Linked DNA regions of Rattus norvegicus. The protein of the gene in region 2 interacts with the protein of the main gene of each other region in a biochemical or structural test. Links are inferred from orthologs where the notes say so. Each region holds a gene or a part of one and is shown on either strand. Other genes may lie near its edges.

Evidence for each region.
Region 1: the proteins of S100a6 (region 2) and Cep43 form a complex in vitro, tested with the Homo sapiens proteins (2 studies listed by BioGRID and IntAct, with this or other methods). The link is inferred for Rattus norvegicus from reciprocal best matches to the Homo sapiens genes S100A6 and CEP43.
Region 3: the proteins of S100a6 (region 2) and Cacybp are reported together in a solved structure, tested with the Homo sapiens proteins (2 studies listed by BioGRID and IntAct, with this or other methods). The link is inferred for Rattus norvegicus from reciprocal best matches to the Homo sapiens genes S100A6 and CACYBP.

Annotation. Positions count from the first base shown.
Region 1 is NC_086019.1:55,108,323-55,113,608, forward strand, and holds the start of Cep43 (centrosomal protein 43), read right to left. Parts: upstream 3,188-5,286; 5' UTR 3,104-3,187; coding exon 3,002-3,103; exon of another isoform or gene 2,791-3,001; coding exon 2,737-2,790; intron 2,427-2,736; exon of another isoform or gene 1,826-2,426; intron 215-1,825; coding exon 160-214; intron 1-159. UniProt on the Homo sapiens protein: Required for anchoring microtubules to the centrosomes. Required for ciliation.
Region 2 is NC_086020.1:178,396,594-178,400,863, forward strand, and holds S100a6 (protein S100-A6), read left to right. Parts: upstream 1-1,943; 5' UTR 1,944-1,961; intron 1,962-2,494; 5' UTR 2,495-2,515; coding exon 2,516-2,653; intron 2,654-2,944; coding exon 2,945-3,076; 3' UTR 3,077-3,169; downstream 3,170-4,270. Other genes in the region: S100a5 (protein S100-A5), read left to right, coding at 261-404. UniProt on the Homo sapiens protein: May function as calcium sensor and modulator, contributing to cellular calcium signaling.
Region 3 is NC_086031.1:74,978,053-74,983,139, reverse strand, and holds the start of Cacybp (calcyclin-binding protein), read left to right. Parts: upstream 1-1,900; 5' UTR 1,901-2,051; coding exon 2,052-2,072; exon of another isoform or gene 2,073-2,263; intron 2,264-5,087. UniProt on the Homo sapiens protein: May be involved in calcium-dependent ubiquitination and subsequent proteasomal degradation of target proteins. Probably serves as a molecular bridge in ubiquitin E3 complexes. Participates in the ubiquitin-mediated degradation of beta-catenin (CTNNB1).

The sequences.
Region 1 (5,286 bases), on a different chromosome or scaffold from region 2:
TAAGGCAGCTTGAAGCTAGGCATGGTGGTCTGCTCCTGGGTAAAGTCAGCATCAGGCAGGAAGATCCCTGAGGACTAGAGTCAACATGAGTCAGAGTGAGACTACTCTTCCCACAAATACTGACAAAATTGTAAAGCTCAGAGATAAACATTATCTTACCATCTTTTGTATTTAAAAACTTTTTCAAGCTCTCATTAACCAACGGAGTTTTGTTCTGTTGAAAATAAAAAGAAATATTTATGTTTATAAAGTGTTTACATGTGCTATATGTTTACCCTAAAATAACTAAAAAGTGTGCATTAAAGTTCTCTCGTTCCCACAGCCCAACTTTACTGTCAGTAGGTGAAAAAAAGAAGAGCGGAGAGCATGCCCTGCAGAATGGAGAGCAGGCGGAGCTAAGTATCAACAGTCACGTTTATTTTGGCAAAGATATAAAGAATACATACATTTGGGGTTGGGGATTTAGCTCAGTGGTAGAGCGCTTGACTAGCAAGTGCAAGGCCCTGGGTTCGGTCCCCAGCTCCGAAAAAAAAGAAAAGAAAAAAAAATACATACATTTATATTCACAAAATCATGGTTTTATGATCCATCTCACAACTATTTATTTAGCATAGGACTTACTTTGTGCTATTTAGTAACTTTTCAAGTTAAGGAAACCAATCTGTATATGAAGACATTTATTTCAACCTTTAAAACACTTTTTTACACTGCAGGAGATTAGACTCAAGACCTTTTACATGATGGGCAGGCACCCTACAATTGTCTACCACAAGCCCTTCAACATGTTATAATTACACTGCTTTTGTAATGGTTTATTTAAAAACATGTGTGTCATTAGATTTACTTTTAACTGTTTATATTTCAAGTACATACAATTTGAAATTTATAATCTTAGATAGCTACCATTTGCAATTCCAAACTAATCAGTAGTGTATGAGATGACTTTGTATGGCCATAGCTCTGAACAAATGTAGTAAACTATCCTTCTTGCAAATAGAAATGTGGTAACTGTTGACAGTGAGGATAACATAGGTAACACATGATGGGGTCCTTAATCAGCCTCACATCTTGTGAATGGAAATACTAAATGCATGGGCACTGTGGAAAACAGTTGGAAGGTTTGTTCATTTTTAGGTTAACATTATCTCCAGCAGGTGAGCCAGTCCTTCCACCCTCAAGCATTTTCTCAAGATCAGTATCAGGTCCCAGCAAAGATTTGGACATGACCATTCACAGCAGCATTATCCTCAAGGGAAAAGCAGGGACAACTCAATGTGGTATCAAAGGGAGGGTGGCTAGGCAAATGAAGACTATCCGCTCAGTGACTAGAGCAACGATCACCATTCTTGAAATGAGGACTACGTGGAAGAATAGGATACACTGCAGCATTCTGCTGACTATCAGACCTAAGTGCATTTTACACGTTCCCATTTGCATAGCTCTGAAAATAACTGAGATGCTGCGGAAGGAAACTCAAAGGGTTGGGCCTGTATTTTCTTTCTTGTGTTCCTCACATTCCGTAAATAGCTTATCAAATCTGACTTTAAGGTGTGCATTTCCACAAACAATTATACCTCAAGTTAAAGAGGGAGAAAAATCACAGAAGTACATAGTGTGAAGAATCTAGGACACCGAGTTAACTGAACTAGTCAAGGAGAACAGAAGAACAGAATCAGGCATGTACTACAAATGGCCAACCCAGGACGGATGAAGACCTGAGACATATGATGAGGGCACCAATGACAGGTGGAGAGTAGCAAGTGTCGCTCTGGAAAAGCTGTAACTAAGCCAAGAGGGGCAGGCAGACACTGCCAGGAGACGATGGAGTATGGGTGAAGCAGGTCTGGAAAACTCGGGGACATCAGTCTGTTACTCAGTCTAATGAACAGGTCTGAAGCTGGGAAAGGGAACTATGTAGTACAGACACTAGACAAAGTTACCACAGGGAAGCTGCAGAATAAGTACGTGGACTGTGGTACGCAGGAACAAGATCCTGTTAAAGAAACCAAGGAGTATGCAAAGGAAAACACATAGAGAAAGCTTCCCGAGGTCAAAACATTTCCAAAAATGAGAGAGGGGTTACTGTCAGATGGTGTAGCGGCTAGGTGAGCTGGAGGATCAAATGATCATTACAGTTTGACTAGAAAGCAAAGAAATATGGGATTCCAAGGTGTGGACAATGGAACCTAGCCTAGATTCCAAGGTGTAGACAATAGAACCTAGCCTAGATTCCAAGGCGTGGACAATGGAACCTAGCCTAGTCAAAAATTAGCAGTAAGGATGAGAAGGAGGAAGTTAAGAGCGGGTAGGTATACAGGTCATAGAAGGATGGAGGAGATCTGTCGCACAGGAAGACTTTGATTATCCTGTGATTCTTACTGACAGGGAGTTCCAGGACACACTCAGGATGGTTGCTGGGAGCTGGGGTAGGCAGAAAAGCCAAGTTACAAAACATTCAGGGATTACTAGGGTTTTTTTGGTGTGTGGTGGTGGGGGAGGGGGGGACGGGGACACAAGAACAGAGATATTTTTAAGGTAATGGTCAGATTTTTATCCAACCAATCAGAATTTGGGAAAAGGTTCCACAGTACAACCCTTAATACTTTCAGAGTGTAGTAACTTTTAACCATTCAGAACCATCCCCGTAACGTTAGTCACTGAACTATTTCAGAATGGCTTTTCATTTATTAGAAACCAGGCGTTAAGAGGTACGGCGTTAAGGTCTGGGGCTCTTACCTCTACTTTTTCTTGTTCTTCTAGTGCTAAAAACACAGCCGCTCTGAGTTCAGCCTTCAAAAAAAAAAAGCCCACAAGTTATAAGTCAGTTTTGCGACCTGAAAGTACAGGGACAGGCACGAGGGAGTGTGCAGCGAGAGAGGGAAGGCCACGGGCCTGTGTGCTCCACACCCGGCCCACGAGCTCGGGCCCAGGCGCCATGGCCGCGTGACTGCCCCGCGCCCGCGTCCCGCGCCCTTCCTCCCTGGTAGCCGCTCCGCCGCACCTTGATACGATTCAGCACGCCGCTGTTCTCCAGCGTCTGCACCAGCAGGTCGCGCAGCTCCGTGTCCTCCTCAGCCACCACCGCGGCGGTAGTAGCCGCCATCTTGCTTCTCCAAGACAACCACCCAAGCTGCGCTAACGGCCAACAGCCGCTGCGGAAGCCGCCCGGCGCGCGAGCGCGCAGTCGCAGCCCCGCCCCTCACGCGGAGAAGACCAACGGGGCGGAGCCTCCAGGCAGCAGAGTCTGCAGGTTCCATGACGTGAAGGGCGGGGCCTCCGTGTACGGTCTGTAGGCGGGGCCACGAGCATGGGACCGGGTCAGGCTCTGGTGACACGCTCTGTGGCATATTATAATTATATTAGAAATGTCACTAGGTTGCACTTAATTCCCCCGTTCCTGTGTGAGAGAGAAGAGTCCACTCCGGCTGAACGTACCGGTCCCTCTAACTGAAGTGGTGGTGGCAGTGGAGAGCCTCTAGGAGGGAAGGAGAAGCGAGCTGCGGGGCAGGGCGGAGACTTCAAGTGGGCGGGGTAAGATGTGGGGCGGGGCCTTCCTAGGGGCTGTTTCTAAGCGGGAGCAACGTGTAGGCGGTCTGTTCTTGCCTCTGTGTGTGCGTATACACATTCAACTTAAGTCGGTTTTGCGGGGCGGCGGTAGTTGGACCGCGGGGGTGGGGAGGGAGTAGGAAAGTCTGCTGTCTGGTACCATGCTCTTGTTCTTTTGAAAAAACAATCAACCAGGAGGGTAAATTCCAGGCTGCCGCATACATGGGAAGCTTCAACCGTGTGGGCTTGGAACTTCACAAAGATTCCGGTACCAGTCTGTAAAAGGGTTTAGAACTCATGCAGGTGGCCTGTGCAGTATGAATGCAGATGCACATAAGAATAAAGTTAAACGCTTTCTGTGCTGCTTTTCAGTTTATGAAAGAAATTAGAAGAGTGGTTTTTTTGTTTGTTTTCCTATATCTTTCAAGAAAGGAATCATTGAGAGGTTAATTTCTTTTTTTTTTTTTTTTTTTTTTTTTTTGGTTCTTTTTTTTGGAGCTGGGGACCGAACCCAGGGCCTTGCGCTTCCTAGGCAAGCGCTCTACCACTGAGCTAAATCCCCAACCCCGAGAGGTTAATTTCTAAAACTGGCCTTAAGGAGAACAGTTAAGGGGTTAGAAGGGTCACACGGAACACAGAGAAGGTGCAAAGTATTTCCCATGCTGGCAGTCTAATTACAATTTGGGCACAGGAAAAAATGGGTTTAATAGATCTGGACAAACTAAGGCGTCCTTGGAGTGTGCAAACTTCAAGCTAGGGACAGATGAAGGGGAGAGTGCTCCAGTAAAGGAATAAACTTGTCTGTGCTTGGCTTGGTCCATGTGCAGTGAAAGCAGCATTGGTATGATTGGCAGAAGGAAGCTGCATTGGGGTGGGGGAGCTGGTCCAATGCAGACCTTGACATATTACTTTGGAGAATGAGGGCTTGAGGCATTAGCTGATCTGTAGATTTGGGCATTCAGAAAGGTTTGAAATGCTTTTAATCAATACTTTAAAACTGAGTGGCTATCCAGTTCTAGACCCCAAATTAAGAGGCTTGAACATGGTCAAAACTAATTCCCACAGCCAGGCAGCCAGCAGTCTGGGAACTCAGACAACAATCTTTACAGCAGTCTGAAGCCTTGGAGTGAGCCCTTGTGGGAGGACAGGGAAAAGTGCAGCTAGAGGGCCTGGAGGGAGACTAGAGATGCTTAAGACTCTGAGACTATAACCTCTACTTTGATCGCAGTGAAGATGAGATCTCCACAGACTAGTAAGGGTTGGATGAGGTCATAATCAGTGTCCCAGGTCAGTGTCCCAAACCCTCCCAACACTATAACTCACAAAAGGGTCTCTTAACAGGAACTGAAGACACTGACACCATCTTGAACTTCCTCTAGAAGACTAAGATCAGTTTCTGTTGTGGATGACACCTGGTCTGTGGTATTTTGTTACAGCAGCAGGAGCTACCAAAGCCAAATGGCTTCCCCAACAGGTTTATCGAACAGCTGTTGTTTTGGGAGGTTTGCTGGTGAGCAAGAGAGGGCACTCCAGGCAGAAGGAACTGGACAGAATGCAGTCAGGACTCAAAGGAAGATTAGTCTGTATATAGGAGAAAGTCAGGACCTAAAGTAAAATTACTCTGTATATGGGAGTAGCAAGATGCCCATGAACATATACATAGACACATACCTACTTGCATAGGACTTTTATTATAATCTGCCTACAAAGTCATGGAGACTGACAAGGGCTTGGGTCTGC
Region 2 (4,270 bases):
TTACGTCTAGGACTTGGACGGTGCTCAGGACCACATGGCAAGACCTCAAGCTGTTTTTTAGTAGGTAATGGTATGAATTATAGATTATTGTTTCTTTGGATGGGAAGATGTCCCAGGAGCAAAGGCTAGACAAGCCTTCCTACTGTAATTCACTTGGAATCAGCACGCAGGTCATTGACCCCATTTGGTGTCAGGTCTTTGGTGAAGGTGTGGGTTGTAGCTGAGCTTCTGAGCAATCTCCTCCCCTTGGACCCTTGCAGAAGATGAAGGAGAGCAGCATTGATAACTTGATGAAGAGCCTGGACAAAAACAGCGACCAGGAGATTGACTTCAAGGAGTACTCTGTGTTCCTGACCACGCTGTGCATGGCCTACAATGACTTCTTCTTAGAGGACAACAAGTGACCAGCTACCCTCACCAGCAGCCCCTTGTCCTGACCTCTGCAGCCTCTTTAACTGCTCCTCCTAGGCCCCCTGCCCTTCTCTTTCTTCCAGATGGATTCTTCCAGCAGAGAAATAAAGCCTTATCCACAGCATGTGCTGGTTTTTAAGGTGGTTTGTCTCTCTTGGCTGAGGCAGGGGAGAACAGAGGATTTGGACCACTCAGCCTTAGGCCACACACACGTGGTCTGTGGGTACAGGAGCTGGGCTCTCGTTTTACTCCACTTGCTGTCCTTCATCGTGGACATTGTTGGAAGTGTCCTGGCTTTGCTCTGCACTCCTGTAAAATAACAAAGCTGCCCAGACAGCAAAGACGAAGAGCAAACAACAGAAAAGAGCGAGGAGGCCAGAGGGATGGGCTGTGGCTGTGGCGCAGTGATGGTCCGGCAGGTCTGACTTGGGGATAGCCCTCAGGAGACCTCCCTAGGAGCCCTAGTAAGGAAGGGAGTCTTAGCCCTTCTCTCCACCCTTCCCATTGCTCACTGAAGACTGATTTCAGGATGCTAATTCCTCCCCATGCCCCACCAACTTCCTCTTCTTAAGACTTTTTTTTTTTCCAGGAGAAAATGTTGAAAACTTTTTACTTGAGATGAGTAAGTAACTAACGATGCTTCCTGGGCTTGGCTCCACTGTGTGCACATTAAGGCATAAGCTGCTCTGAGGATGAAATTCCAGGCAGTGAGTGGGAGGAGGCAAGTGATGTTGTTAGAAATTTATGGTTGGTGGGGGATGCTGTTTAAAATCTTTTAGACTGTGTTCCCCTTCTGTCTCCCTTTTGAGACATGGGTCTTATATAGGTTGGCTCAAAATTCTACCTCTTGGGATCAGCCTATCTCATCAAGATTTAGCCCAGTGGTGCTCAACCTGTGGAGACCCCTTTCACAGGAATTGCCTGAGACCATCTGAAAACACAGTATTTATGTCACGATTCATAACAGTAGCAAAAATATAGTTATGAAGCAGCAACGAAAATCACTTTATGGTTGGAGCGTCACCACAACATGAAGAATGTATTAATCCGCAGTATTAGAGAGGTCGAGAACCACTATCTTAGAGGATGCGGTAGACTGACTGCTTCCCCTCTCGCTTGGAGTTGACCTTGCCACTAGAGGGCAACAGCATCAGTATTGTTCCCAGTCCCCCTCACACTGATTCGAACTTTAAGGACACTGATCTCTGGCTGGTAGAGGGTTCAGCACACATACCAGAGTTACGAGTCACGTGCCAGAAGGGCAAACTGAACACGGAATTAGAGGGAACTCGATGTCTCCGGCTTGCACTGGTCTTCTCTTGCACTAGAATCCTTCATCCTGCTCCCAGTCCGGGACGTCCAGGCAACAAGGGCGTGGAAAGTGAGGGGGCTGGGAGGTGTGTTTGCCTTGCCTCAGGCGCTGGGTGGGGTTGGGGCGTGCCAGCACTCCCTGGGCGGGCCTCACCGATGCTGGCCACTATAAGGCCAGCCAGACTGCGACACAGTCCATCCCCTCGACCACTCTTTTGGCGCTTCATTGTCGACGTGTGGTGAGCTCTCACTGGGGCGTCCCTCTAAGATCTGTCCACTCCTGGTCTAGGGGTTAAGCCTTTCCTGCCCTAGTCAGCCTCTGCGGGCTCCATGGGTGGAATGCACTGGGATCCAAGTTTTCGGAGCCCAGGGAAGCAGGGAGAGCCATGGTCTGCTGGGCTGTACCAGACAAACCCCGAGGCTAAGGCATCCCCATGGGCGGCAACCTGAATCTGCTTTTCTGGGGTGCAGGAGGGTTTGCCCTGGGTGTGTCATCCTCGTCCCAGTGTGTGGCCCTGTCAGGAGGTTTCCAGGGGCAGCCTCCATTCTCTTCCTTGCTCAGTCATATGCTCCAGTTCTCTTGGAAGCCCTGGAGGACAGTGTTCACAGACCCCAAAGCCCCTTCCATTCTTAGACTCCTCACCTCAGTGGCCCTGGCTGCTACCTGTGTTGGCTTGAGGCTAGCTGCTTCAGGCAGGTAGTCTCCTGGCTCAGGGGATGGTGAGAGGACTCTCTGCTACCAGTAGCACTGAATAGCCCCTCTGTCAAACAGCTTCTAGCCCAGTGGTCAGTCATGGCATGCCCCCTGGATCAGGCCATCGGCCTTCTCGTGGCTATCTTCCACAAGTACTCTGGCAAGGAGGGTGACAAGCACACCCTGAGCAAGAAGGAGCTGAAGGAGCTGATCCAGAAGGAGCTCACCATTGGTGCTGTGAGTAGCCCCTGTCCGGGTTCCCCCTCCCACCTCTTGTCTGAGTAGCATTTAATCACAGTTCCTGATCTTACTTCCTGTGGAGGGATGCCTGTATGCTCCCATGCTGTCCTGTCCCCTGAGGGAGGAGCAGGGGCTGAGGAGAGTAAATCTAGGTAAACCCAATCTGAAGGTCCATCTTTGGTCACAATGAGCAGAGCTACTTGTGTGAGACAGGGCTTCCAGGGAAGGGGAAAGGAATCTAGGGTGTTGGCCACCACTGAGTATGGACTTCTCCTTTTAATGTATTAGAAGCTGCAGGATGCTGAAATTGCAAGGCTGATGGATGATCTGGACCGTAACAAGGATCAGGAAGTAAACTTCCAGGAGTATGTTGCCTTCCTGGGGGCCTTGGCTTTGATCTACAATGAAGCTCTGAAATAAAATGGGAAGGCAGAGATGCCTTCTGGGAGGCTATCCCAGTCAAGTCCAGTGGGGGGGTAATTATACAATAAATATTTCGTTTTTGTTATGTCTACCCATGTGTCCTGGCTTCTCACTGATTTCTAGTTGCTTCCTGGCTTGCTGCTGAACCCACCGTCTAGTGGTCCTAGTCACAGTTAATCTCTGCGAGTTGTAGTTGAGTGACCCACCCAGACAAGGAATCTTTATGGGTATTAGAAGAGGTACCCCCTCTAGGCAAAGTCACTTTAAACAAAGGCTTAATCAGGTGATCTCCAGGAGAAAGGGGCCCCTAGAAGCAGGGCTGCAATAGTCCCAGCAGTCCCCCAGAAGACACACTTTGGTCTGGGTGTGGTGAAATGGGGTGGGGGTTGGGAGGAGTAGATGGGCCCTGATATTGGGCAATCCAACTTCTCTCTGTGTGTTTGTGCGTTATATGAGGGAGGGATGGGGAGAGGTACATCTGAGGTGACCAGGGACACAGGACGACTGAGTTTTCTGTAGCTGCCTCTGTTCCAGTTGGAGGTAGAGGAGGCTTTAGGAGACTGTCCTTAGTATCACGTATGTACGGGGTCTTTTTTGTTAGGTGGTAACTCAAGGAGCTGGCAGCTCCATGAACACGGGACTCATGAGTGCTCACAAACAGGGCAGGGGTGGGGTCCTTAGACATGCCAAATGTGGCTTTAGGCCTTTCTGTCAATATTGACCCAGCCTATCCCTGCAGAATGACTCATAAGACTACTTCCCCGGAACCCAGTTGAGTCCTCAGTCCCTATCAGAGTAGATGGCCAACTGAGTTACTGTCTACTGTGTGCATTAGCAGTTAAATCTAGGTGTGGAGAAAGCTGTCATGATGTGTCTGAGTGTCATGGAGACAGCATTTGCTGCTATTCCTTCCAGGAAAGCCTAACTCAAGTTGGGCAACACCCTGGCCAAGACCAAAGGTGGAAAGAGCTGGACTTCATGTGGAGACCATAGTTGTTTTCTCTTCTAACCACCCACCCCTTCTCCCGTCAACTTTAAGATATTAATGGTCTTCCCTTGCTCTGGGTGGGGGCTAGTAAACAACAGCTGTATTTCTTAAAAACCTTTCTTCTCCAGCAGTGTCCTGGTTTTACCACATTGTTGGACAGTCAGAGGGTCCCCGGGTCACCCTGTTCAGCATAGACTCTATTC
Region 3 (5,087 bases), on a different chromosome or scaffold from region 2:
TGGAAATGGGAGACCCCAGCAAGCTGGACTTCTGCAGAATTAAAACAGTCTGCATTTACATACTATTTCAGTCTAGGCTATCATTCTTAGGTGAATCATGGACCCTTACAGGCCTGAGGCACCTCTCTTGCTCTCTCTCTCCTCCCTTATGTTGTATTTCGTCTACCACCCATGTTCAGCCTGGATTCTTCCCTCTGCCCGATTTCTTCCTTATAGCTACAATAAAATTCTCCAGAAAAAAGATTTTTTTTCATTTTTATCACTACAGGCCATGGGACCGGTGGTTTGAGACTTTTATTTAAATTGCAACTATACAGTATACATCCGTGCCTGACTTGTCATTTAATGAACGTTTGTGTGAGAAATTTACGCATATTGCGTGTTTAATGTAATTACTTTAATTTGTGAAGTGTAATTTAGCAGCATTTTCCTTGACTTGCTGATTCTAATAGCTTCCCTAGGCATCTGTAAGCTGATAGCAGATTGCTTGACCACCCAACGGATACTGTTTGTTTTCTGTCTTGTTTTCCTGTATGTTATAGACGTCTCCATGCTGTCAGAGTTAAAGTAATTTGAAAAGCGGTTTTACACTGGGGTTTATTAATCCGGGCTCCTACAACTAGAAGAATTTCTCCACATTTTATGTGGGATCACTTAATCCAAACCCTGATGAAAATAAACAATATCTGAACTGTTTGTTAAGAGAAGGCAATGGAAAAGTCTGCTATTGAAAGACCCTCGCTCTAGTCTCGGGATGGCGCACCCCAGGAAACACGAGGGACCGGCTTGACGTAAAAGCAAGAGGCCGTTTAATAATAACGGAGCTCCGGGCCAACACGTGTCTCACGCAGGAGACAGAGGAGTCAACCCCAAAACTCAAAAGTCAGGGGTTTATATAGGGAAAGCTAGGGGGTTTTGGCGCGGTTACACACAATTGGCTCATTCAAACATAGCAGTGAGATTACAACACAGCAGAAGAGTACTTGCTAGAAGTCAGGGGCTTCTCAGGGTCTGGAGGACATCTGGTTAAAGTAGAACTCTGAGTAAGCTGGGGGAGATGTCCTCCTGCCAGATGGTTCATGAGTCAATCCTGATAACTCGGGCTGGTTCCTGCATTCCTTTTCTTTATCTTTATGGTCTGTCAGTCCTAGCAGCAGGGCGGGCCCCGTCATGCCTGGATTTGTTTCTTATAGTTTTTGGCTCTGAGTCTGTGAATTTTATAACTTATTCTTTTAATATCCTTTCACTATCAAGAGCTCTCAAAGGCAAGGGAGAATGAAGATTTCGGCCACTTGAAAATGTGCCGCCTTCCCACAACTGCGACTAGGAGACTGCCAGGTAGCCCGTGCAGCCTTCCTACAGTCCCACGAGAGGGCGCCACGTCAAAGGTGCTAGACACAGGACGTCTCCGGAGACCCAATGCCCACTTAAAAGCCAGTGTTCTCTTCAGGAGCCTTCCTCCCTTAACAAATCTGTCCCCTCCCCCCCCCCCTTTTTTTTTAATCTTAATTGTGTTTCTTTGGGAGTGCTCTTTTGTTCTCTCATAACACCTCACAGGAACCGAAGACAAAATGGCAGCCTGGCTAGCTTAGCATCCTACCCGCGGAAGCAGTCCTTCTCTAGACACTTCCTATTGGGTCCCCAAACCTTTGAAGGTTAGTTCCGGAGCTAAATCAGGCCGCGATTGCGAGCTGCGACTGCGCAGCCAGGCTATGTCGGCGCGGAATGACGTCTCAGTCACTGGGGCGGAAGAAGGATGGTTTGACGCTTCTAGAGCACACGTTCGCTCGCGAGAATTGAACGTTGCTAAGCGACCTCCCTGGGGGCGGGCCAGGACTCGGCGGGGCGGAGCTGGGCGGGGCCTCGCGGGCTGGTGGTGGAGCCTCGCGAAGGTTCCAGAGCCGTCTCGTGCGGAGGGCGGGCCGCCGAGTCCCGCCGGGTCGGTGTAGCTCGCTGCCGACGCTGCGACGCTCGTGGGTGCCGTGTTCGGCTTTTCCTGTCTACTTCAGTGCACCGCTGCAGCTCCGGCCTCGGGTCTGACGCGCCACAGCATGGCTTCCGCTTTGGAGGAGGTAGGGGTCGGCCTGGACCCACCGGCTCGCACCGCCCGGTGGCCGCTGTTTTCCCGGGGCTGGTATCCTCAGCTCTTCCCCAGTCGCGGGCCCACGGCCTCCGCGCTGCCACCTGCCTGGACCCCGAGCGTCCGGGCCACGGCAGGAAGGTCGGGGGTGTGTCTGGATCCCAGTTTTTGGCGCGGATCGTGGTAGGCTCTCGGGTGAAGGTCCCCTCTCTATTGCTTGAGCTCTTCTTGGCTCCCGGTTACCGGCTAGGGAACAGGAACCTTCCTTAAATTAAAGCTCATTGCAAAAGCTCTGAGCTCCGGGCCCGGGGCAATTGGAAGGAATCCCTTTGCCTGCACGACTAGCCACGGTGCCACATTCATTCCATATACATTCGGTGTGTTATTTCTGAACGCCTTGGGCAGTGCTTGCGGTTTTAGTTTTTATTGAGCAGCGCCAGTGGAGGAGCTGCAGGCCTTACACATGCTGGGGAAGCGCTCTACCATTGCGTTACACCCCCAATCTTTATAAAAGCATTTAAAAGAAATTATTGGTAATTTAGCTGTGGGAAATTGCGTGGCGTATGGTTTTAGGTTTGTAAAAAGTGAACGTGGATGACTTTTTGGATTCTTAAGTTTTACTCAGCTATATAACAAGAGTAATTGAATTGCCGGGTTTTGGCCTATATCGGTTTTAATGTGATTGATATATTGTGTTCACAGACACGTTGGCTATCTGTTAAGATTTGCTTTTCGGAAATTTCCCCCTCACTTTGAAAAGCAAGACATCGGCTTTAAACACATAAAAATTAGGAAGTTAATGTTAAAGTATTAACATGGGTATCTTGCAACAAGTAAGTAGACTCGGGCACCATGTGCTCTGGGAGAGTGGAGAGTGGCTTAACAGTTGTGCGCACGGAGGTGTAGTTTGTTATTGTCTCCAAAGGAAGAAACTTTAGACTTGGAGATATGAATATAGGGGCACGTTTTTCTTTTGAGATAAAGTTCATCTTATTCAATCATATTAAGGTGTATAATTCAACTTTTTCGGTCGTACACCCATCACTGTTACCTAGTCGCAGAATATTTTTATTTCCTCAAGTAGAAATCCATTGTAGGTACTCCGTCCAGCTGGATTGGAGCCTTCCGTGCTCATCCGTGGTATCAGAAGAGCATTCCTTTTTATGATTGAATAGTATTCCATTGTACAGGTACAATTCGTACTCATCTGCTGGCACACACGTGTTTCTCCATCTTGACGAATGTGAATTCGAGTAAACAAGTTTTGTTTTGTGGGCATGTTTTTAGTCCCTGTAGTTGCCAAATAATAAGAGAAAGCTTTGGAAGAAGTTACCATTCCCACAAGAATTGCACAAAGGTACCATTTCTACACATTCACTAACATTGTTATTTTCTTGGGTGGTTTTTGTTCATGTGATACCATCCAAGTGAGTGTGTAATTCCGCCTTGTGGATTGCTGTGTATCTTTGTAGATGTGTGTGTCCAGTTCCATCCATGTTTTTGTGGAGAGAAGTTGAGTTCTTACATTTTGTGCAGTTGGGTGGGAGAAGGTCTCACTAAGTACCCATGGCTTGGTCTTAAGAGACACCCACCCCTGCCTCCAGAGTGGTAGACCTAAAGGCATGTGCCACCAGACCAGACCAAGCCCCTATTTAACAACTAGGAAACAGAATCAAAGGGGGATACATGTTTATATGTAGAAAACAAATGCATGCCAAGAAGACAAGAAAAAGTGGACAGGAAACTGATCCTTGGCACCTTAAAGTTTGGATGCAGAACCTGCACTGTCCATGGTCTCAGGGCTGTGAATACAAAAGTCAAGCAATGGTTCTTCTGTAAGTCACTTCAGTTGATAGCTTACTCAAGAGTCCATTAGAGCAAAAAGGGGCCGTAAAGACGACATTCGAATTCTGCCATGAGTCAGCTAGAAAAAAGGATTCCCATTCCAGTCAAAAGCAAAAACTCTTAACCTTCTCCGTTAGTTAGGTAAGTCTATTCTAGGAATAAGTATTTGCTTTACTTTTAATATTTTTATTATGTTGATATATAGAATCCACATAAATTTTGAAACCACTGAAAAACATTGAATGAAACATCTTGATTCTAAATTCAAAAGATGAGTGTGCAGTTTTGGATCTCAGAGTCAAGTTTCCTTGGGATTGTGGACAGGGTTTCACTGCTGTGCTTTTTATAAGCTGTTATTAGTACAGCAAATGAGATCATAAAGGCCACAGAGTAATGAGCTATTATAATAACTAGCATTTAAAAGATTTTAAAATTCTTTTATTTCTTGAGAGTATAATAAACTAAATCATTTCCCCCTTTCTCACTCCAAACCCTCCTCCCATTTGCACTCTTTCAATATGAAACTACGAAAGTTTCTCTGTCCCTTTTCTTCCCTCATTGTTGCATACATAGTCTCTGTAGTGTTACTTGTAGGGAAGCTAACAGGGCTGACCATTTGGTACTAATTGTCCAATTGGTGTGCTTTTCCTTGGGGAAGACTTTCTCCTGCCCTCAGCCTGTCTTTGGGGCCAGTCCTTGTGTAGAATTGTGACTTCCTGGGCTTTCCTTGTCCACAATAGCGTGTCTATTTTTGTTCAGCTCAAGTTTAGGCATTCATGTCAAGATTTTTTGGGTGGATGTAACTTCTAATTACTAGGAGTCACAATCTCAGAACAGGCTCCTAGATCCTCTGGTTCTTAAAATCTACCATTTCCACAAGAATTGCACAAAAGGTACCATTTCTCCACATGGTAACATTTGTAATTTTCTGCAGTTATCTGAGCCTCTCAGACCTTAGGTGAAGGAGTTATGCTGCAAATACCTCCATTGGGACTGGGCTCTGCATTTTGATTGTGCTTTTCTGTAATGGACTCCTATCAGTTGTGAATGGAGCATTTAAGGGTTCTTAATATTAAACTTTTTATTTAGGATGAAGGTATAAAGTAAGGTGGTTGTTTTTGTGGTCAGGTTACCAAGGCAAAAAATTTTAAGCATTTACTCA